Linked DNA regions of Struthio camelus. The protein of the gene in region 1 purifies or fractionates together with the protein of each later gene. This does not show direct contact. Links are inferred from orthologs where the notes say so. Each region holds a gene or a part of one and is shown in the gene's direction. Other genes may lie near its edges.

The links. Proteins that work in one complex are often made in the same cells at the same time.
Region 2: the proteins of TULP3 (region 1) and WDR35 purify together in Homo sapiens (affinity purification with mass spectrometry; 5 studies listed by BioGRID and IntAct, counting the BioPlex papers as one, with this or other methods). This does not show direct contact. The link is inferred for Struthio camelus from reciprocal best matches to the Homo sapiens genes TULP3 and WDR35.

What each region holds. Positions count from the first base shown.
Region 1 is NC_090942.1:88,352,919-88,363,697, reverse strand, and holds the start of TULP3 (tubby-related protein 3), read left to right. Parts: upstream 1-4,716; coding exon 4,717-5,106; intron 5,107-5,171; exon of another isoform or gene 5,172-5,466; intron 5,467-9,711; coding exon 9,712-9,761; intron 9,762-10,167; exon of another isoform or gene 10,168-10,264; intron 10,265-10,779. Other genes in the region: RHNO1 (RAD9, HUS1, RAD1-interacting nuclear orphan protein 1), read left to right, coding at 1,205-1,372, 3,681-4,322. UniProt on the Homo sapiens protein: Negative regulator of the Shh signaling transduction pathway: recruited to primary cilia via association with the IFT complex A (IFT-A) and is required for recruitment of G protein-coupled receptor GPR161 to cilia, a promoter of PKA-dependent basal repression machinery in Shh signaling.
Region 2 is NC_090944.1:18,655,517-18,666,295, forward strand, and holds the start of WDR35 (WD repeat-containing protein 35), read left to right. Parts: upstream 1-4,781; 5' UTR 4,782-4,932; coding exon 4,933-4,956; intron 4,957-5,548; coding exon 5,549-5,666; intron 5,667-6,327; coding exon 6,328-6,399; intron 6,400-7,793; coding exon 7,794-7,886; intron 7,887-9,323; coding exon 9,324-9,452; intron 9,453-9,683; coding exon 9,684-9,817; intron 9,818-10,779. UniProt on the Homo sapiens protein: As a component of the IFT complex A (IFT-A), a complex required for retrograde ciliary transport and entry into cilia of G protein-coupled receptors (GPCRs), it is involved in ciliogenesis and ciliary protein trafficking.

The sequences.
Region 1 (10,779 bases):
CTTGTTAGTGAAGTGTATGAAATCCACTAAAGAGGATGTACAGCTTTTGCTAAAGTCTGCTAAAGAATTAAGTTGTTGTATAGCCTTTTATGCGTTAATCAGAAAATGCATTTCTCAGAAAATGTTCTCTTTAAACTTCTTCACCTGTGCTAATCTGCTCTTGAATGCAAATTAAAATTCTATGTAGAGTTTTTCACTAAGTAAATAAAACTATGCAAAATATGTAGAATACATCAGGGAAATAGCAATTTATGTTCTGAGTTAAAAAAAAAAAATAAATTCTTGAAATGGAAAAAATAGAGGTAGCTAGCAACTAGAAATGGAAAGGCTTCTGGTCCTTCCTAAATTTAGACTAGTAGATTGCAGCCTTGCAAAGCAGTTTTATTCATGAATTGAAAAAGGAAAAGAAATTTTTTGGACTCTCAATTCCTAAACCATTTTTCAGATATGACTAAACTGGATAGAATACTTATGTGAATAAATTATTTCTTTAAATCCTCTGGAGAGCTGGTTCAGTAGTCCAACAAATTCATTCATGTTTGTTTGTTATTTTTCTAGCAGCTTAGTGGTTTGAATTTCCTTAAAATTTCAGTGACTAAGCCTGTTCTGAATACAGTTGTTCTTATATTTCAGTGTTTAAGTCAGGCCTGATGTCCTTCTTTATCAATTTCTTTCAAAAGTTTTTAATGAAGGAAAAACCTTAAACTCACATAAGGATATCTGATTTGTGTATCTAAAATGCATATTTCCATAAGAAACTAATTTTCCCAATAATGCCAAGTCTTGCTTAAAATGCCAGTTTAGAATTCCTTTTGCAGTTGGAGCATTCCTATGTTTTTTGCCTGTCTCGCTCTCCCACTGTATCTGGCTACCTGCTTTCATGGTAGCCAGAAAGCTGGAAGGCTTTTAATTATCTATCATATTGTGTTTTTGCTAAATCTACATGAAATCAGCTAGAAGGTTAAAATCTACTGATGTAAATGTGGAGTTTACATAGAGATATGAACATGGTACTGTGGCATAAAGGCTTTACTTCTGTTAAAAATTAGATTTGAGGTTTCCAGACAAACTTATCTTAAAATCCATTTATTTGCCTTCTACAGATTTGAGAGCACTTTAGCATCTTCTTGGGGTGCCTTCCTCTTTCTCCAATTGATACTAACAAGCATCATGAGGTTTCTAAGTGGTTTTACTATACCTCTTGATGCCTCCAAAGAAGAAATGTACCCACAAGGCCAGGAAAGCAGAGCTGGTATTCCTTGAGAGGCCGCAAGAGGGACCTATCCATTCCTATGAATCTCCACTACCTTTGGCTGAGAATCCAAGACGTGTTCCTACCAAACCTATAGACCAAAACACCTCTCCTGCCTGGGTTGGTATAGATTATCTTTCCCTTTGTGTCCTGCCAAAATGGTTTTCAAGATTCTCTTGCATATCTCAAAAAAAAAAAAAAAAAAAAAAAAAAAAAAAGGCAAGCTATCTGTCCCAGATACTGAAAATCAATAGCAAGGACCTGCATTCATTATAGTTGTCCAAAACATAAATAAGTGCTTTTTGAGTTGCTTCATGTTCTTGTCACAAACAACCAGTGATGTCTTGGTTATTTGAAAGCATAAAACTGTACAGTGTATACCGATCAACTATTACTAATTGTCTTCCAAAAGACTAACTTTCATGAGAATACTTTCTGCTTTATATGGCAACTGAAAATCCTGAACATGATAAAACATTATTCCAAGGTGCTGTTCCCCTCCACCTCCTTCTAACTGCTTGACATAATTCCTGACCTCTAAATGTTAGATGTTAAAGTACTAGGCTTTTCATTTAAATCAGGCTTAAGTATTCTGGTGCTATGCTAAATTTAGAACAAATAATCCTGGAGTGCAGGTCTGCGTTCCCTAACTTGTCGTCTTTTTCCATTCTGTGTGTTTTGAACAGTTTCTCTCCAAACAAGCCATTCTAATGGGTTCCTTTTCTGGTTTGACAGAATATTCCAGGGATTGCTTGCACCGTCCTAATACACGCTTTATATTATATTGTGTAATGTGAAGAGTTTTAAGCAAACAGCTGCTGCAAAAATGGACACTGTTCCCATGCAACAACAGCTATAGCTTTGGGCAGCTCTATTATTGTTACTTGGATCTCTAAGCTCTATACAAAGCAGCTCCAAGAAGCATGGTTTCAAACCCATGAGAGACATTCCTCTGGCCCTGGGGACCTAGAATTATTTTTGTGGTGTCTTAACTTCAGAGCAGAACATGTTCAGTTTTTTCCTTTTTAATTTTATTTCTACATATATAAACATATGTGGTGAAGATGATTCACTCACTCACTCTTAGTACTTCAATTCTAAATGTACAATGATTCTAAAATGTATTTGAAGCCAACAGCACCGAAACTACTAGATGTTATTCCATTTGAGAATGCTGGTAGGTTTGCAACTTCCTGAAGCATCCTCTGCAGATCTTCTTTGAACTTGTCTCAGTGGCAACTGAGATTTTCTGCTCATCTGGAGGGTATATTAAGACTTTCATAAGCTTTTGACTGCTAGGCTCCTCTCCTGGTAAAACATAACTTGCATGTTCTCTAAGCCAGGAAGTCACATCTCAAGGTTAGTAGCTCATTAGTGTTCTTGTAAGTTGTGTGCCAGGATATAATTATCTGGGGATCATTACTCTATTCTGCTACGCAATGACTTTGCACTCAAGCAGTACAGAAGTACAATAGACAATCACAACCCTTAATATAAATTACACAGTAGCACTTAGTTTTTGAGAGATTGCAGTAACTTCAACATACTGAAAGGGTACTCTAGTTGTGGTAGCTAGATTCTAGGCTATTCTGAGCTCCACGTCCTCTAGGGGAAAGCAGAGTGCAGAACGCTGAACCTGACCCTTTCTGTTGAGACCTAGGAAGATAAAAGAATACTTTAAGAGAAGGGTTTCCAGCTTTTGGGTAATAGTCTGGAATCTTTCACAGAAATTTAGATTGTTGAGCTTTGACTGTCTTCTATAAAACACTGATGCTGGATGCCCACTTGGTTTCTTCACCTTAGGTTACGTTAATAAAGCTTTCAAAATACTCCCCCAAAACATCTTTACTTCATAAAATGTAGTTAATCTCTGTATTCTAGAGTAACACATCATCAGAAAGCCACAGATAACTGCAGTCATTTCATACTTCTAAGTGGGCATCCTTTACTTGAAATGATCTTACACATATGGATGTCTGTTGAACCTGAACCTGTTTAGGGAGACTGGGCTGTAATTTGTTGAATTTATTCAGGGTTATGCTAATACAGAAAGAAACAGGATCCAGCTCCAAACTGTTCTAAATCTGCAAGGGTTAAAGGAGTAGATGTCAATTAGACTACTTATTAAATACACAAGACTTGGGATTTAAGTTATAGGCAGCAGCTCACTTAAACCACACTCTCCTCTTAGAGAAGAGTGGCAGAACATAGTTTCAAAGTTCAACAGGGTCCCCTGTTTACCAACTTGATCAATGACTGATTTTTTTTTTTTTTTCTTTGCTGCAGACCTGATTACCCACTTAATGAAAACACGGAAGAAAGATGGAAGGGGGGGAAGTAGAATGGGGTTGGCATTCCTTTGTCTGGAGAAAAGGTTGGCATTCCTTTGTCTGAAGAAAATTAATCTTTCATCTGTCTTGCCCTTTAGGTGTGCCCACAGTTTGAAACATCTGACCTAGGAAGCTTGAAAGGATGTCAGAAGAAACATGGTGGTCCTCACAGAGCCCAGAATCGGGATGCCAACCACAGTTCACTTCATGCAGGAGGTGCTTGTCGAAAAGCTATAGCCTGCAAGTTTCCTCCTTTAACTTTTGAGACTTCAGAAGGACATGCAGTCCACTCCTCAGATTGTCTGGATCATCCAAGGAAGAACACACAACTCTCTCATAGGCAGCCCAAGAAAAGGACAGCAGCAAAAGCCAACATCCAAGTGGATAATCCTAAAAACTGTAGAGAAATATCTTCATTAGCTGTGTCTCAGCCTGTAGAACCAGAAGTCTCTAGTTCCTCAGATATACAGATTCCACATCTGCCTTCTCTGAGGAACTGGAGATGCAGCAGCACTTTGCCACAAACTAGTAGCCATGCCTGGACTGCACATGAAACGTTGGCACCCAGTATTGATACCCCTGGGAGGGGGGACTCAGCAGCAGTACTGGTTACAGACACTCCAGAGCATGAGTATGGAGTAAAGGTAACTTGGAGACAGCGGCCTCATATAATGAAATACCTGAGGGAGAGAGGAAGGCTGAGTGCTGGTGACATAGTTGTGAAGATGAATCAGTCCTGACCTCTCTAAGAGAGGCCAAGGTGACTTCAGACTTGGTGGGAGTAATAATTTAGTTATGTGCAAAGACAAATGTAAATAGAAAATGGTATTTTCAAGGACAGACAAAGCTGGTAACTTAAGCAAAAACCCATACTATGGTTTGCTGGCCCTACTGAGAAACGCTCTTAGGATGTGAGTTTTTTCTGTTGTGATTTTTTTTAAAATTTTTTTTTGGCTAGATTTCCTTTGAGAATGGGATGCCTCCATAGCAGCTTTCTAGTCTACATACCTTCTTGCAAAAGCTGCTTTCTGCACCCAGGGGTGATGATGTGCAGAAGGGCCCAGTACCCAATTGCGACAGGAGAAGCGACAACAGAGTGTTCTGAGGCCACGAGGGAGGTGCAGGGCAGGATTAATGCTGTTCCCCGTGAGGCCGCCGCCACAGCGGCGCCATTCTTCCCTCCCAGCGCTCCCGTACCAGCGCTGCCAACGGAAGGCGCCGCCCCGCCGCACTCAGCCCCCGGAACGGCGGCGAGGGCGGGGCCCAGCCCGGCTGCCGCGCTCCGGGGAGGGAGTGAGCGGCGCCTCGCACTACGCATGTGCGGTTCTCCCTCCCATCCGAGAGGCGCCACGGCCAATGGGCGGGCCGAGTGCTGCGCCTTCGGCCAATGGCGGTGGGCTTCAGTGCCGAGTTCCGTTGCCAATGGTAGCGGCCGGGGCTGGGCGCGAGCCACCGGGGTCCCATAGCAACGGTGGGGCCGAGGATGGAGCGCGCGAGGGGCCGCGGCGCACCCGGCGGGGGCAGGTGAGCTAGGCCCTGGTGGGCGGGAGAGCGAGCGAGCGAGCGAGGGAGGGATGAGGTGGGCGGGCGGCGCGGGAGCCCGGCCGGGGGCGGCGGCTCGGGACGGCGCCGCGGGTCGCCGGACGCTTCCCAGTTCGGACCGGCCATCGCGCGCGAGGGCGGCGAGATCTGCCCGGAGCAGAAGTGGCGGGCACACGGCAGGCACGCGGAGTCTCTTGCGGTTCGGGGTGCTCCGCTTCGTAGTCGCTTCAGGAGTGGTTCCTGCGGCTACGGAGTACTTTGTTGCCGTGTTGTTTAGCATCTGCCGCGGGGCCTGAGGATAGTGATACGGTATAGCGTTTGCGTTGCCGTAACCATACCGAGGTAAAAGCTATTGGCAATTGTAAATGGTGAAAGGCACTTAGAGTAGCCTAGTGCCTTGCTAGAATAGCCTTAAGTACCTGCCTGCTAGTGTAACTGTACTCACACTGGGTGTTGTGGAAGTGTTAGCACAATAAAATTCACTTTCAGCTAACACAAACTGTAATAAAACCTGGCTGTATTTTATGTACCTCGCTATCCTATACAGGTTATGAATCATCTAAATACTTGTAGATTAAATGGGTTTTGTGGAGTCTTGATCTGCTTTGCTTGTTTCTAGTTGTTGCTGTGAAGCATTTTTGCAGTGTTACTCTGCGCTTCTGTTCCTGTACTGTTTACAGGTATACAGTAGCTCTGTGTGCGCTATTGTAAGGGAAAGGAGGGAACAGCTGAGGGGATCTTAACCGATATGATAGGAAAAACAGAACTGTAAGGTTCAGAGAAGAGCATTTGGAAGGGGATTATTCTTATGGTGTTTGAATAGCTCAAGAACAAAATTATCTGACAGGTAAATGTGAGGCTAAGGGCAGGCAGTGAAAACAGATTTTGGCAGAATTAAAATGATTCCTGAAGTGAGAATCTCTCTGTACAAACAAAGAGGAAAATCTGTCTTATGCCTGTAGTGCTTGGATGGGGGAAAAGCAGGAACTTGAAGAAATTTTAAACAGCTAAACTACGATAAATATGGAGTAGAACAGTGTATTTATTTGTGAGATACACTTGTAAATTTTATTTGGAAGGGTGAAAAGAGGCAATAGAGTTAGTATGAACTGCATAATCTTCTAGGGCCACCAAATACCCTGTGACACATTAGAAGACTTATTTCTGCAGACTGTAAAGACTGAAGTCTGTGTAGCAATTCTGGAAACAATTTTAACAGAGCGATGAGCAGATGCTGATAAATTTCATTGCATAGATATCTTAGACTTTAATGTTTGAGAGAGCTGAAGGCAGAGGATATGTTCTTTTCTTTTCTAATAGCAACTGTAACAGTATAATTTCTTTCTCCTAAGAAACTGTTTTTGCTTACTTTTATGGCAACCTCATAAAAATAGCCTAACAGCAGTGCCAATTCATGTTATGACTACTTCCCACCCCCCCCCCCCAAATTTATTAAACAAACAGTCCCCTTCCTCAACTTTCTTAGTCTCCATGGTAAGGTAGGAAAACTAGAATATGTGAGCCAAAATAAAGATATGTAGGCCTTAAATATCTATTAAAAATCTCTTATTCTGAGGAGTGACCTGACTCAGAATGTTCAGCAGTACTAGAATATATTGCAGGAAGGCAAAAGATTGTATCCTTCCTAAGAAGAAAGGAATAAAGTTATCCAGAAATTGTTAATTTACTAGTTAGAACTCTTCATTGGTAAAGTAATTGTTGCTTGTCTAAACAGTGATTTGTGTAGGAAAAAGTAAATATGGTGTGTAATAACTGGACAGTTAATAGCCATCAAGATATTACATGTGACCTTATAGAAGAAAGACTCTGAAGAATTAAAAAAAAAAAAAAAAGTATTTTAAGCTATATGTTAGAATCAGCTGGCCTACATTTGTAGCTTTTTTTCTGAAGTGAAATACTTTAATTCTAGAGCTGTATGTTAAAACTTAAAGTAGGAAATAAAGAATACTTTATTCCTGGTGGACGGTGGTGAAGGCAGTAAGCAGAAAATAAAAGCCTGTAGTTTTGTAAATGTGCCGTGGGATACTTGATGATGATTAAGCACCTTGGATCTTGGCTTTAGGCATCACCTGAAAGGTGTTGTCCCTTAAAACCGTGGTATTGTGTTAACTTGCGGCTTGTCTGCCAGTGCTACCTTCCATTTAAGATGGCCATAATTGAAAATGTTTGAGTTCATTTTAAAGTTTGATTGGCTTGCAGTTAGACATAGCACAACTGTCTTAATGCTTTAGAAAATGCTAAGATTCATAGTGCTGTTTCATGATTTTGCCAAGTGATAAACCTTCCTTCTTTGTTTGTGAAAGTCCATGCTGAGGCTTAACATGAAATGAAAAATAGTTTATGTTCAATAACATAGAATGAGTTTATCTGAATGTTTCTAAAAACCTTGTAGTATTTTAAAATATTAAGACAGGAATTTGGATTATGGTAGTATGTATCTGAGAATCTTGGTAGACTGATGGACTTCACCTTTTTGCACAGTACTTATGCAGTATAAAGCAATATTTCAAGCTTCCCACAGGCTGTCTTCCAAATATGCTTCAGCTTCTGACTTGAGAGTGTTAGGTATAAAGAACATCATTTTATGGAAACTACAAAACATAGGCGCTAGCTAAAATGGTGGCTTCCATAACTGGGATGCTCCTTCAGTGACCACGCATGCATGAGTTAGTAGTGTTCAGTTTGTGAACTCAGGAGCTCTAGGATATCTCCTCAATGTCTACATAAGTTAATGAAGAAAAGGACCTACTGGTCAGTTAGTTCCATTTGAAAATGGTTAGGAGTCCATGGACTTAAAAAGGTTCAAAAATCATTTCATATATTGATGCTCAGCCAAAAACCCTTGCCATGTTTGAAAAACCTTAGCATTGCTGAGGGGATATCAAGAATCTTGGTCTGCTAGGGTTGACTGTTTTGCACAGGTGCACCTAAACTATTATTGGCAGGGGAGGAGAAAAAAAGAACAACTGATTTGCTAATGAGTTTAGCTATACTTGTAATCCAGATGAGATCAATTTCCTTTTAAAAGTCTGTCAACATCTCTGTTAGTCTTTGAGGTATTTTTATTTGGATATGAATGACTTTTTTCAGTTAACAAGAACTATTTTGTAAATTCCAGAATGTATAATTCTGCAAATCTTATCCTTAGATAAAAGGAGAACTGGCTTACTATCTCATTTGTCCCATCCCTTTCAAGTCTGAACAATATCACCAAGAAATCTGTCCAAACTGAGATGGATTTGTAAACGTTTACAAATGTGGTTTAGCTGTGCTCCTAGGAGTACATTTTAGAAATAATAGAAAATGTTTTGTGGCTGAAATTTGATGCCACTGTAGTCAGAGTGAATGAAGAAGGAATCACTTCATTTCCCTGTGATGTAGACAACACTGGCAAGAGAGAGGAAGTAGCAGCAGAACTGTATACCAGTCACTAAAATTTCCAGGTACATCTTGAAATGCAATTGCTAACTGTAATTGTTGAAACAGTGAACGAGTCTTCTTAAAGTTGAAGGTTACTTGAATAGTTCTTCTGCCATCCTCCCCCTACCCTCTAATATTTTACTGATGACCCATTTGCTGATCACTGATGACCCATCTTTATAGAGACAACCACTATTTTTCTCTGCTCCAACAGCTGCTTAAAAAAAAATGCAGATATGGCATGTAGAAGGGACAAGTGCCCTGGTTACAAGAGAATTATGACTCTGTGTGTGTGTGCGTGCGTGTGTGAAAACTTTTTGCAACAGATTCACACTGGGATACCTCTAGGCTCTTGTTTTGTCACTAGGGCACAGTAGAATCGTTGACTGTGTTGTAGTTGGATCATGGAATACTCTTGTAAGTGCATTTGCTGATATGCCCAAATCTGTTGTCTTAGACTGCCACAAGAATATTTATCCTTACCCCTAGTGTTGTTTAAAATATGTTCTGTATATTGAACTTTAACATCTTATGATACTGTTATATAAGTCTGTGTTGTCATGCATGTTAACCTGCGCTCCTTTCCCATTTAATGTTTCTTATGAGAAATTTCAGGTTAAAATAAAAGTTGAAATCTAGCAGCTAAATTTTGCTTAGTCAGCTAGTTTGAGGTGGAAACTAGTTCCTAGCAGAGAATAGACTAGCAATTGCTTTGTATTTCACTGGTTTCGTGGTGTAATGGGGTACGATGTCGGCAAAAGTGACAGAGACAAGGTTTAATAATTCACAAAGTGGCAATCAGAGGAGTCAAGATTCTAAGCCCCTGGTGGATCTTGCTCTTCTCTTTCCCTAGTCTATTTCATAATACCTTTATGTTACCTGGCATAGAGCAGCTTCTGTAAATGAACAGCCTTTGGAATTTGGATCATATAGTTGAGATGACTAAATAGAAAGCTGGTATTCTGCTTATGCATTAAAGGTGTCCTTTATTTTCCCTATCTGAAACCCAAGTTTTAGCTGGATTTAAACAAAAAATGAATACTTGTTTTTGGAAGCATAGCATTCTGCAGTTGTGTTGGTGGTTCAGAGCTGAGAAGACCTTCCTCAAGTTACACCATGGATTTGTATCTTCCCTGTCAATTCCAGGATCATTGGGAATCATCAGCTATGAACTCTCAAATGAGTGTACCTGCCAGGTATTTTCTTTGTCCTCTCCTCCTACAAATATATATAATAAAAAAAACAATTTTTGATGCTCAGTCTCAGTGTAGTTTGTTGAGATTAATTCCTCCAGATTTTATTTTCCTCTTGTTCTGTTTGACTACACAGTTGAACATAAGTGAACATGTATGTTCCTGTTCTTATTGTTGTCTCCCTCTGTGCCTCCTTCCCAACCTACCTGATGGCTTTAATGGTTAATGGCTTGTGTTGATTTCTGGCTTCCTTCCAGGAAAACAATATTCCTTTCACTTTAGATATGCTGCATTGACCTACTTAAGCCTTTTTTGGCTAAGAAAATAAAAGGATCTACCTTCTATTCTTCTACCGTAGTACAGTAGAGAATGGCACGGGCTTTTGTTTGCACTCTTCTTTATCTTCCAGATAACAAGATTTGCTAGCTTCTGTCCAGAGAGTGCTGCTTTATTTTCATTGCTTCATTCTGTAATTACAAGTAACAGGAGCTAATCTTTGGTACCCGGTAAGTCTGTTTTGAATGGCATACAAAAAACTGACCAGTACATCAGCTTAAACAGCTCTGAATTCATATTTTAACCTTTTTGTGCCACTTATGCTCCTATTGAATTTTCTTGTAACACTTGTATTCTTTATTGGCATCTAGCTCCCTCTTTCACACCTGGGTCTAAACCATTTTCATTTATCTTGTAATCTCCAGAACTGAAACAGACACTATCAGTCCATATCTGAAAAAGGGTTGAGATAGGATATGCTTTATTCTTTATCTTACCATTATTCAACTTCTTGCATAGACCCTTCTTTTCTCAATGTTCTGTTACGTTACTAGCAGGTTCCTGATTAGTGTGTATGACAATCTGCTGCAACATTAGACTTTTCTGTTTCACGGTGTGTTTGTGTAGGTATCTAATAGTGCAAAGCATATTCCATTGCATTTATGAGATCATATGATTTTACTAATTCTATGCTAGGGATTTGTGTTTCCACTGGCTCTCATTTTGGAAATGAAGATAGGGATGA
Region 2 (10,779 bases), on another chromosome or scaffold:
CACCAATGGGACACTTTTGACATAACTAAGGGAAATAACCTTGCTGATGGGGCAGCAAAAGCAGTTGCCCTACAAATTCCACCCACGAAACTGGAGCTGCGAGAAGGAATGGTAATGTGGAGACTACAGAAGAATTGAAAAAAGAACACCAAGTAACACCTAAAGAAGAGGTGGAAGGATGGAAGCATTTAGCAGTGGACCAAAAAAAAGGAAATACGGTTTTTGCTGGGAAAACCATTGCTCCCTCAGATCACGTTGATTCTGCTAGTAAGAAAACTCCCTGGATGGACACACAGAGGAATGTCTAATATTTGGATAACCAAACTTCTGAGTCATGGGAAGCACTAGGTTTGACTCAAGGCATGTTACAAATCAGGGAAGGATGTTTAGTATGTACAGAATACAACGCTAAATCAAAGACGGAAGCTAAAATGAAAGGAGGCCGCTCATGGGCTTGGATGCCGTTTCAAAAATTGCAAATAGACTTCACAGACATGCACCCAAAAGAAGGGCAGAAACATCTGCTAGTCAAAGTTGACCAATTATCCTGTTGAGTGGAAGCATTCCTAGTCCGGAAGGCTACAGACCAAGAGGTAGTAAAAGCCTTATTGAAAGATATCATACCATGCTTTGGGGTACTGGAGGAAAGAGATTCTAATAAAGGAACTCATTTTACTGCTGAAATACTAAAAGCAATATATGAAACATTAGGAATTCCAAGAAGACTACATACACCTTATCTTCCCCTATCTTCAGGGCAGGTAGAAAGAATGAATCATACACTAAAAATGAAGTTAGCTAAAATTTGTGGGGAGACTCAGTTAAAGTGGACAGAAGCATTGCCATTAGCGTTATGGGAACAAAGACAACATCCGGGCCCAAGCCATGGTTTGATCCCATTTGAAATTTTGTTTGGTAGACCAGATAGAATCTCAGGGACTTTTGTCCCAGCACATACAAGACTTTTCGCAGGAGATGAAGCTGTTATCCAGTATGGAATGTATCTACAGAATAGTTTTAAAAACAAAAGATATGAAGCTGTAATTATCCAACCTCTGCCTTTAGGAGATTACCTTCATCCGGTATTGACCAGGTGATTATGTTATGGTAAAAACTCATAAAGCCAAAAAACGTGCAACAACCAAAACGGGAAGACCTCATACAAGTGTTATTATGCACTTATCCTGCTCGTAAGGTTGCAGGTAAAGAAACTTGGATTCATTGCTTGGATTCATCGCTCCCAAGTGAAGGCGGCTCTAAACACAGCGACCTCCTTGGAGGACGTTCCAGTTCCTTGAGCATCCACTGAAGAGAAGAGAATACCTGTGCAATGGCAGGAAAATCTATTCAAGGAAAACTGTGTTCATCTGTTACACTATGTAATTATTTTCTGCTGTGTGTTTAAATGTGATTTTTAAGTTATTTCTGTTTTTTATAACTATTACAGGATTAACCCTAGGCTGGGAAAATAATTGCGTTACACAATTCATGAGTAGGGTCTCTCAAGTAGGGAATGGGTTAGACTGTTGGTATTGCCTATTCCACCCTCAATCCCTGGACACCGATTTTGGTTGGCTAGCAGAGCTTGTTTCCGGTTTAGCCTAGTATCAGTCGAATTTGACGTGTTTACTCCCTAGGGTTCCAGATTTTCAGCAGCAAACCTTTAAGGTACATTCATATGATAAAGCTCCATGGTATGTTAACGTGCCTCAGATGAACCTTTTGATTTAAGTAGGAGATAAAACTAACTGTAATTACACACTATGGTATAATTATACACAAACAAGGTTTCAGTTGGACTGTTCAAGTGCCGGCAATAATTCTGACGTAAAAACTTCATGGACTTATAAGAATAACTCAGTAATTTTAAATGACACTGAGCTAGAGAAACTGTGCACTTGGAACCTTACTTGGAGCATAAACGGTACAAACTGTCAAAGATATTATAATATTTCTTCTTCAAATGGCACATACATCTTGGGGACTAATGGTTGGTTTAGTTCTGATAAGAGCAATTGGACCATGTGCATTTGGAACTAAAGTAGCTGGTGTATAGGTGCAAACCCTTTTCGAATAATCTATTTAGGCAAATGGGAATTATCAAAATGTAAAAATACCACTGAGACTGATATTACCTCCTGCCCTACTAGGCACAGAAACAAGATTATCCCAGCAGGGAAACCTTCTATTTTGACATCTGGATGGTTCTGGCTATGTGGGACCAACGTCTACAAAAGTTTACCACCACAACGGGCCAGCACTTGTACCATGGGATGCCTAGCCCCTATGCCGATCGAGCAAAAAAAAATAACACTAAGCTTTTTGCACAATCACTATCCAATATATAGAAAAAGGGACACTTCTAACCCTATAGTGAAAAGACCTAAAAATGCCATCAATTCATGCATGTGCTGTTTCCAGGTCTAGGTGCGGTCGAGTTAGAAAAGGCTATTGTCAATATCTCTGTTACCCTTGAAATCATTTAAAACAGTACTGTAGAAGCCTTAAAAGATCTATAAAAAGAACTGAACTCTCTCTCTCAATTAGCTGTCCAAAATCAATGGGGTTTAGATTACATATTGGCCACACAGGAAGGAGTGTGTGTGCTGGTTGTTTTTATGTAAACAAATCAATACAAATTGAATATGATGTAAATGTTATTCAATAACATATACATACCTTCCATCAGGTAGCCCAAGAAGAGCTGTTGCTTAATGGCCTAGCAACAGACTGGTCATGGTTGTGGTCATGGCTACCAGATTTGGGAGTGTGGACATGACCTGTTTTAATAGTTTTGCTGTTAATTCTGGCAGTAGGAACTGTGCTTCTCTGTTGTGTCTACTGTATGGATCAAATATATTCAACCCGCTTCTCATATGAAAGGGGATATAAGTATAGACCAGCATAACATTTAAAGCAGGTATGCATGAAATAAAATGAGGGAGTGTTAAGGAATTTTCCACTATACTCTAGTTTTGCGGAAAGAACATGCAAGGTCATGCGCCCTGCAAGCAGAACATCTTATCTGACCTTGTCTTAGCCCTATTTTTTGTACAAAGTTGAAGAACCGCAAAGAAACTGGTTTAATCCAGCCGGTGGTACAGAAGTTGTTCAAAGGTAACACCAGAAGAGATGCAAAATCAGCTAATGAATAATAATAAGATAAACCATTTAAGGCTGCTGTGGAACTACCTCATACTGTAACATGGCAGCGGGATTGGTAGAACTAAGAGGCATGGATAGCTTTTATTGGTTGGGTAAATAAAGTATCGAATATGTAACAATTTACCTCAGCTTATAAGATGTAACAAAGAACTGCTCAGTGTCCTTCTTGTGCTCCCAGCTGAGAGGGACCTTGTTGCTAGCAATAAAAATTAGCAATCAAGAAATCTGACTCCTGCTGCTCATTACCAGTGCCTGTGAATGAAAAAGAGAATAGATAATATTTTATCATGGGGCATACTAATGCAGAGAACCATTATCAAAAAGAACTAAACTTCATTTTTTGGAGGATATTTGTTAATTTATTATGTTCAAAAAATTTCTAAATTAGCACTAGCCATCATATTCAGTTCTGAGATTCTTACAGGAGTTCAACCAGCTTTGCTTTATAGTTTTTTTTTTTTTTTAGATATGTGCTTCTAAACTGACATTAATTACTAAATTGGATGCTCAGTGCTGCTTACTTTTACATGTCTATGTACCTTAAGTAAAATGACGTGATGATAACCACCGGCTGGTTCTACTTCTTTACATTTGCAGATAGCCTCTTGGAGAAGAGCCAGTATGGCAATAAACTTGGTGAGATGCAGATTTAATTACTTGACTTTGTCATGATTCTCCTGTGTGACACGGAACTTTTATTTCAGTGTTTGTATTGTGGATAACTGCACTGTGAAGTATGAAAATGAAGGTCATATTCTGAGAGACATGATGGTCTATTCCTATTTTATTAAGTAGACAAGTTGGCACAGCACGATACAGAAGACAGGACACGCTGTCTTGTGTAAGTATGTCTCCCATGTTCGTCTTTTGAGTTGATCAGCTATAAGACAGCTTTGGTACGGATAATATTAATTTAGCAGCTGGGCCCAAGCTAATTTGCCTTCTGGGCTCAGTGTTGCAGAGTTAGGTTACCCCTGAAGCCCTTAGTATCCACTTGTGCAGACATGATTCCAGATTTAATCCTCCCACCTTACTCCCTGCACTAATGAGCGTCTAAAAATTGTATAATAGCATTCATTGGCTCAAACAGCAAAAAATCAGATCTCCTTCTTCCTAGGGGTTTGCTTACTCTTTCCAGACCATTGAATCTGTGTATTCACAATCTCAGTACGCGGGTAACTAACTGACCAGATCTACACGTGGTAAATGGAGGCTGTGAGGGCACAACACTGGCTTGCGAAGGAGCAAGAACGGCGTGAAACACCTGCTGCCTTGCCGACGTCAATCAGGTTACCTCAGCTAAGCGAAGACTGTGGTAACGCTGAGGGTGCACTGGAAAAGCACAGGACCCCGCCTCCGCTGCCCGGTTTGCGGGGGGCGCAAAGGCCGAGGGCTCACGGCCGGGCTCGCTCAGCGCCAGGCCGCGCCGCCCCAACGGCGCCTAACGGCTCCCCAACGGCTCCCGCGCGCCCCTCACCAGCCCGCCGGGCGGGACAGGGCGGGGCCAGGGTTGGCCCCGCCCCCCCGGCGAGGGTGCGCTCGCCGCTGCCTGGCGCTAATCCTGTCTTTCTTCTCCCGCTGCCCGGAAGTGAGGGAGGGAGCTTCCGGCGGCGGTTACTAGGGCAACCCGGTTGCCAGGGCAACGCGCTGGGCCTGCTGCCGCTGCCTCCGCCGCCACTGCCGCCGCTCTGAGGGAGAACCGCCGGGCCTTCCCCTTCCCGTCCGCGCTCACGGCGGGGCCTCCCGCTGCTCCGCCGGCCCTGCGCGATGTTCATCTACCTGAGCAAGAAGGTGCTGACGGGGGGCCGGGGGGCGTCGCGGGGGCCGGTGGAGCTCCCGCCGGGCGCTGCGGGGAGCCGCAGGGCTCGGCGCGGCCTGCGGGCGCTGGCGGGGCCGGGCCCGCTGCCGCCGGCCCCCGCCTCGGCCTGGCTCGCTCTCTCGGCTTCTGGGCTCTCGGTGGCCTTCTGCCGTCCCCTGAGAAACTGCCCCCCGGGCGCCGACCACGCGTGCGGAGACTCCGGACGCGGCTCTTCTGCGAGGGACCAGCTCGTGGCAAAGCCTGGCTTGGCAGTTTCTTCCCTCTCGCCTAACTCTTCTGCTCGGGACCCCTTCTCTGCATACGTTTAGAAATGCCCTCTTACTATTGTTTATTGCATATCTCGCATTTCCCTTTTCTGGAGCTTTGTGTTGCATCGTTTCGTTTGTGTTTATAATTGTAATCCTCTTCTGTCATTTTTTTGACTGTACTGATCTGTCAGCGTTAGAGATAAGTTTGTTGTTGCGTGTGCTGTCTTAGGTGTTTTTGAGGTGTTTTTGATTAGGGCATTTTAAATAAAACATGATTCTTACGGCTACGCAGAGATGTAAAATATTTTTTTTTCAGATTGCAATTCCTGGTAATGTTCGATTAAGATGTATTTCCTGGAATAAGGATCAAGGTTTCATAGCTTGTGGTGGAGAAGATGGGTTACTGAAAGTTTTGAAGTTAGAAGCGCAAACAGGTAAATGAGATTTTTGAAACAAAATCCACCACTTTGCAAAATTCTGAAAGTGCAGCTCTTTTCAGAAGTGACTTTACAGCACTGTATGTTTTGCATCTTTAGAGAGATGCTTGTGCATTTACATAAACAGCAAATATGCTATCACTTTCTTGTGAACATTGTTTTCCTTCAACTTGCCCTACATGTCGCTTGGCAAGCTTTTATATCTACTGAGGTCATCTTTGCTACATCTTCATGGCATTATGTTTCATTTTTGTTCTCTTCAGCATTTATTTTGGAGCTTATTTCATGATATCATGATTGTGTTTGAATGTTCTCTACTGTCTGCATTTAATTTAGAGAGAAATTTGTCTATTTTAGGAATATATTTGAAGAAAAGTGAAGTCTAATATATTTTCAAGTTTTTTTAACCTTTTATGAAAGTAAGCAAAGGGTGATGGCTATTATGATACTCTAAAAAGAGTATCTGAGTTTGGATGACAGATGTGATTAGCAAACATGTCTAGCTGAGAGATGGAAAATTCGTGCTGCAATTACACTTTTACATACTTTTAGGTGAATAGTTTTATTAATGTAAATAGTAGTTTTTAGCCACGCTATTGATACAGACACACTAATGTGTATCTTTAATTATATTAAAACTATTTTTTGTTATTTTTAGATGAAGCAAAACTAAAGGGACTTGCAGCTCCTAGCAATCTTTCTGTGAATCAGACTCTTGAAGGTCATAGTGGTAAGTCTCTTTGGGCATTTAATGTACTTTTGATTAACATAAAAATAGAAAAAGATTTCATGGCATTGATAGAGTAATTTTGTTATAACTTTTTGTTGTAAGGCTGAAATAAAGAGTATCAGTGGTAAAATCAGGTGTGTTACAGCTTGGCTATCTCCTGTTACAAAGTTACCTAATTAAAAGATCTGCAGTCAATTTTTCATGACCTGTGAGTGAATTACTGGGTTGAGAATTAAACTGATCCAGACTTTTGCTCTACTCACGGCCGCTGTGGAGCGCACGATGCAGAATGCGTGCTGCACAACCAGGCTGCACTCTACCAGTTGCTGTTTAAGGTTTGCAGTCTGCTTATGAGTTTTTCTAGATAAGTCTGCTAAATTTGACGTTATAGCCTAATCTGTGTTTTCTATTACTTCTGGTTCGACTTTTTCCAAATCATTTTGTCTCCATTCATTATCCTGAAAATGAAGTATTGATTTAGTGTTGAAGTAGCTGATGCGATCATATTTACCTGTTATCAGCGAGTGACTTTTTAATTTTTTTTTCTTTTTTTTTAAGTCTTGCACTGTTGACTGCTACCATACTTGTTCTCTGACTTCAGTTCGATTAATCTGGAGGTGCTCATCAGTTGGGCTGATTATATTTTTATGTATTTACACATTCATGTTATGTTTGCTCACATACTATCTTGGTAGTTGGTAGATAAACAGTGCTTTACAGCAGAAGATAAGGGCTAGATTGTATGCTGGGCAGCTTGTGCTGGGTGAAATGAATGGCTGGAAGTGAAGACATGAAAGAGTATAGTGCTTGAACAGAGACCAGTTTGTATCTAGTACTGAACAGATGTTACAAGATGATTATTAGAAAAATTGAAGAGGATATTTCAAGTCCAGTATTTGAGTTTTTATGAGTTGGATCACATATCAGACCTGAGGGTCTGAAGAAACAGGGTGTAGAGTGCTCTTTTTGGTAATAAGGAGGGAGATTTTGTTTTAGAATTGCTGCAGTATTGATGATCAAGCTGTAAAAAAAGAAAAAAAAAAAAATCAGCTTCCTATGAGAGGAAGGTCTTGTCAGCTTTGCAGCCAGCACGCTTGAGATGGTCAGAAAGAGCAAAACTATAATTTGGGTTTTCTGTTCAGAAGCAATATTCTGGGTAGAATTGGAAGAGGATGTTACTCAAGTGGGTGAATACATGACCAAAAGAAACAGCTTAGTAGAAGCCTGAAAGAGGAAACAAGAGTGGTACAGAAAGAAGAGTGGCTAAAACTGAATCAAAGTCAGCAGGGCGAATTTCTGTAAAACCCAAAAAACTGAGCAGGGTGACTAAGTTGTATGTGATTGTATTAACTTGTTTGTTAAGTAGAAAAAACACAATTTATAAATTTTTCTAGGTTCTGTGCAAGTGGTGACATGGAATGAACAGTATCAAAAACTAACAACCAGTGATCAAAATGGGCTCATCATTGTGTGGATGCTGTATAAAGGTATTATATAGGACAAACTTGAAACTGGATAATGTTCTGGATAACGGAAATGTATTGTGAGAAATTTTTTTTAGCAGTTTTAACAACTCTTTCTCAGATTGTAAAACTCAAAATAAATCTAAAAGGTGTTCTAAGTTCTTGTTAAGATAACTGGCTAAATTTTTTCATAAAATATTCGTCCTCCAGAGATACCTTAAGAAAAGATGTCAATTCTTAGGCATGTGCATTGTAAACCACCACAAATTTTTCATTTTCGTATCTTTGCTGCTTTATTTCCTTGGAGGAAGGTAAGGTACAGAACAATAAAAAGAAGCAGCGCTTCATTGTGTAAGTTTGGTTTTGTGCATTATTGTACAATTTTAGTAGTTCTGCTGTGGGCATCAAACACAGACATATTGATAGAATTACTAGAACTTACGAATTCTGCTTAGACCAACAATCAAATACTTTCATAAATACAATCTTTAGAAATGTTTAATTAAGGCAGTGAACTCATACGCATAACCAATATGTTGCAGTGACTGACGCTTTTTTCTTGACATTTGCATGAACACATGTACTTTGCTACATTTAAACAAATTTAAAAGCCAGCAATCAGTCTCAGTCTAATTAACCACTTTCCAATGCAAACGGGGAAGATGAGGAACATTTGTGATTTTTATCTTGGGGACTTTTATTTTATATATATATATATATGTGTGTATATATGTATATATATAAAAATGCATAAATGGAAACAAGTGAAATGCCAGCTCATTTCCTCATTTCAGGCATAAAATATCATTTGATTAGTCTTTTTACCTGCAATTTGGCTGCTGTTACATGAAGCATCACCTTTAGTGATTATGTTTCTAGTGTGTTTTGTCAGTTTTAAAGTTATCTAAGCTGCAGATCTCTTTCTGAAGGGCCTGTCTCTCAGGCCTTGGCTCCCCTCTGTGATTTCCAGTTTGTCATTTTCTTTTTGGAAGTAGCACATATCTAAACACTGGATTTCAAGATGATAATGTGTGCATAGTCTGAAGGACACTATAGTATAGTCTTGCTAGAGTGTTACGGAAAGGGCAATACAACTTCCTCTTTCAGTTCTTTTTTCACAACCTTTCCTTTTTTGTTGTATATTACATTGTGAAGTCATGTATAACACATTATCTCATGTTTATTTATCAACAGACGTTTCACAGGTTACTCCATTTCAATGAATACCTAATTTGATTTCTTGATAGTTTTTATAAGCTTTTTGGGGTCTGTGGTATGTTTTATTTAAAAAAAAAAAAACTTTTGGAATTTATTATTTATAAATTTTATTATTGTATTTGCATAATTTTTGAACTGAGAATATCTTTGCTCTTTGAAATCAGTGATTAGCATATATCTAGAATTCGTTTAAAGAGTTATCAATTCAAAAGTATAACCCAGTTTTTCATTCTCTACTAATAGGTGCTTGGTATGAAGAGATGATTAACAATAGAAATAAATCTGTTGTTCGAAGTATGAGCTGGAATGCAGACGGACAAAAGATTTGCATTGTATATGAAGATGGAGCTGTGATTGTTGGATCAGTGGATGGTAAAGTTTAAGCTCTATTACCTATTATTGTGTTTTGTAGTTTTATGTAGCTTTTGTTTTCAGTATTATTTACTTTAGAAAAACAGAGCTACAATGTACCTGTAATTAACAGTTGCTTTATAAATTGTTACTTTGACTTTCTTTAGCTGTTTTAATCTTTATGTTGGTAATTTACATCCTATTTTTAAACTTATAGTATGTTTATTAAGTACAATGAACATTCTGTTACAGGCAATCGTATTTGGGGGAAAGATCTGAAAGGTACGCACCTATGCCATGTGACCTGGTCTGCTGACAGCAAAGTTTTACTCTTCGGAATGGCAAATGGAGAAATTCATATTTATGACAATCAGGGGAATTTTATTGTAAGTTCGTGGTCTGTATAGTAAAAGTATTAACTTTCATAAGCATAAAAAATTTATTTATTTTTATTCTTTGTTCATTTATTTGTTTGGTGGACTTCAGTACTGAGAACTGGACAAGGTCTGGTACATGAAGTTTTTATTCAAGATTTAAGCAGCTGCACCTTTTTTCGTACAAATTTTCAGTAAAATTGCAAACGCTTGTCTGTCTTGTTAGCTAAATGACTATTACTTCAATTAATGCATTTTTGCTTTGCAGTTGTTGTTGGAAAGGAAAAAACATGTATGGTGGTCCTGGCCAAATTAATTGAAGCTCCTGTTAAAAGTATTAGTGTATGTCTAGAATAAAGTGGTAGTCTATTTTCTTGTTGCTCCTGTTATTATTTATTAAGTAGGGAATATTGTATGCCTCAGAGAAAGCCTAGCAGTGTTTGCTGAAAATGAAAGAGAATAACTATAATGTTGCTACATTCCTACAAGTTCTGTTTATTTACTTATTTTGCACTCCTAGTTGTTTGGAATACTGGAATAACTATAACAAAATGCTACACAAAAATAAAACATTGACTTTCAAAAGAATAACAGATTTAGAACGACACTCCGCATCTTATATCCCTATTATTGTATATTTCCTTCCTTTCTTTTTCCCTCCTTAAGAGTGAAAAATCTGATATACTTTCAATATTCTTTTCTTTAACCCCACACTGTTTCCCTCCCTCCTGCTGTGTAAGTCATGATATTTCTAGCATTTGCTGCAAATTACTTAGATTCCTTAAATAAGCTGTCGTCTTTTTTTTTCCTGCCCTCGTTTCCCAATAATATAAGCTCTCTCATTATCATACGTTACCTGGTATTCCTCCTGGAAATGACTCAGGTACACTCTTTTCTTTCAGAAAATGCTCTTACTGATGCTACCAGATGTAAAGAGCTAGTTCTTAGGAAAGTAAACTTACCTTAATGGGTGT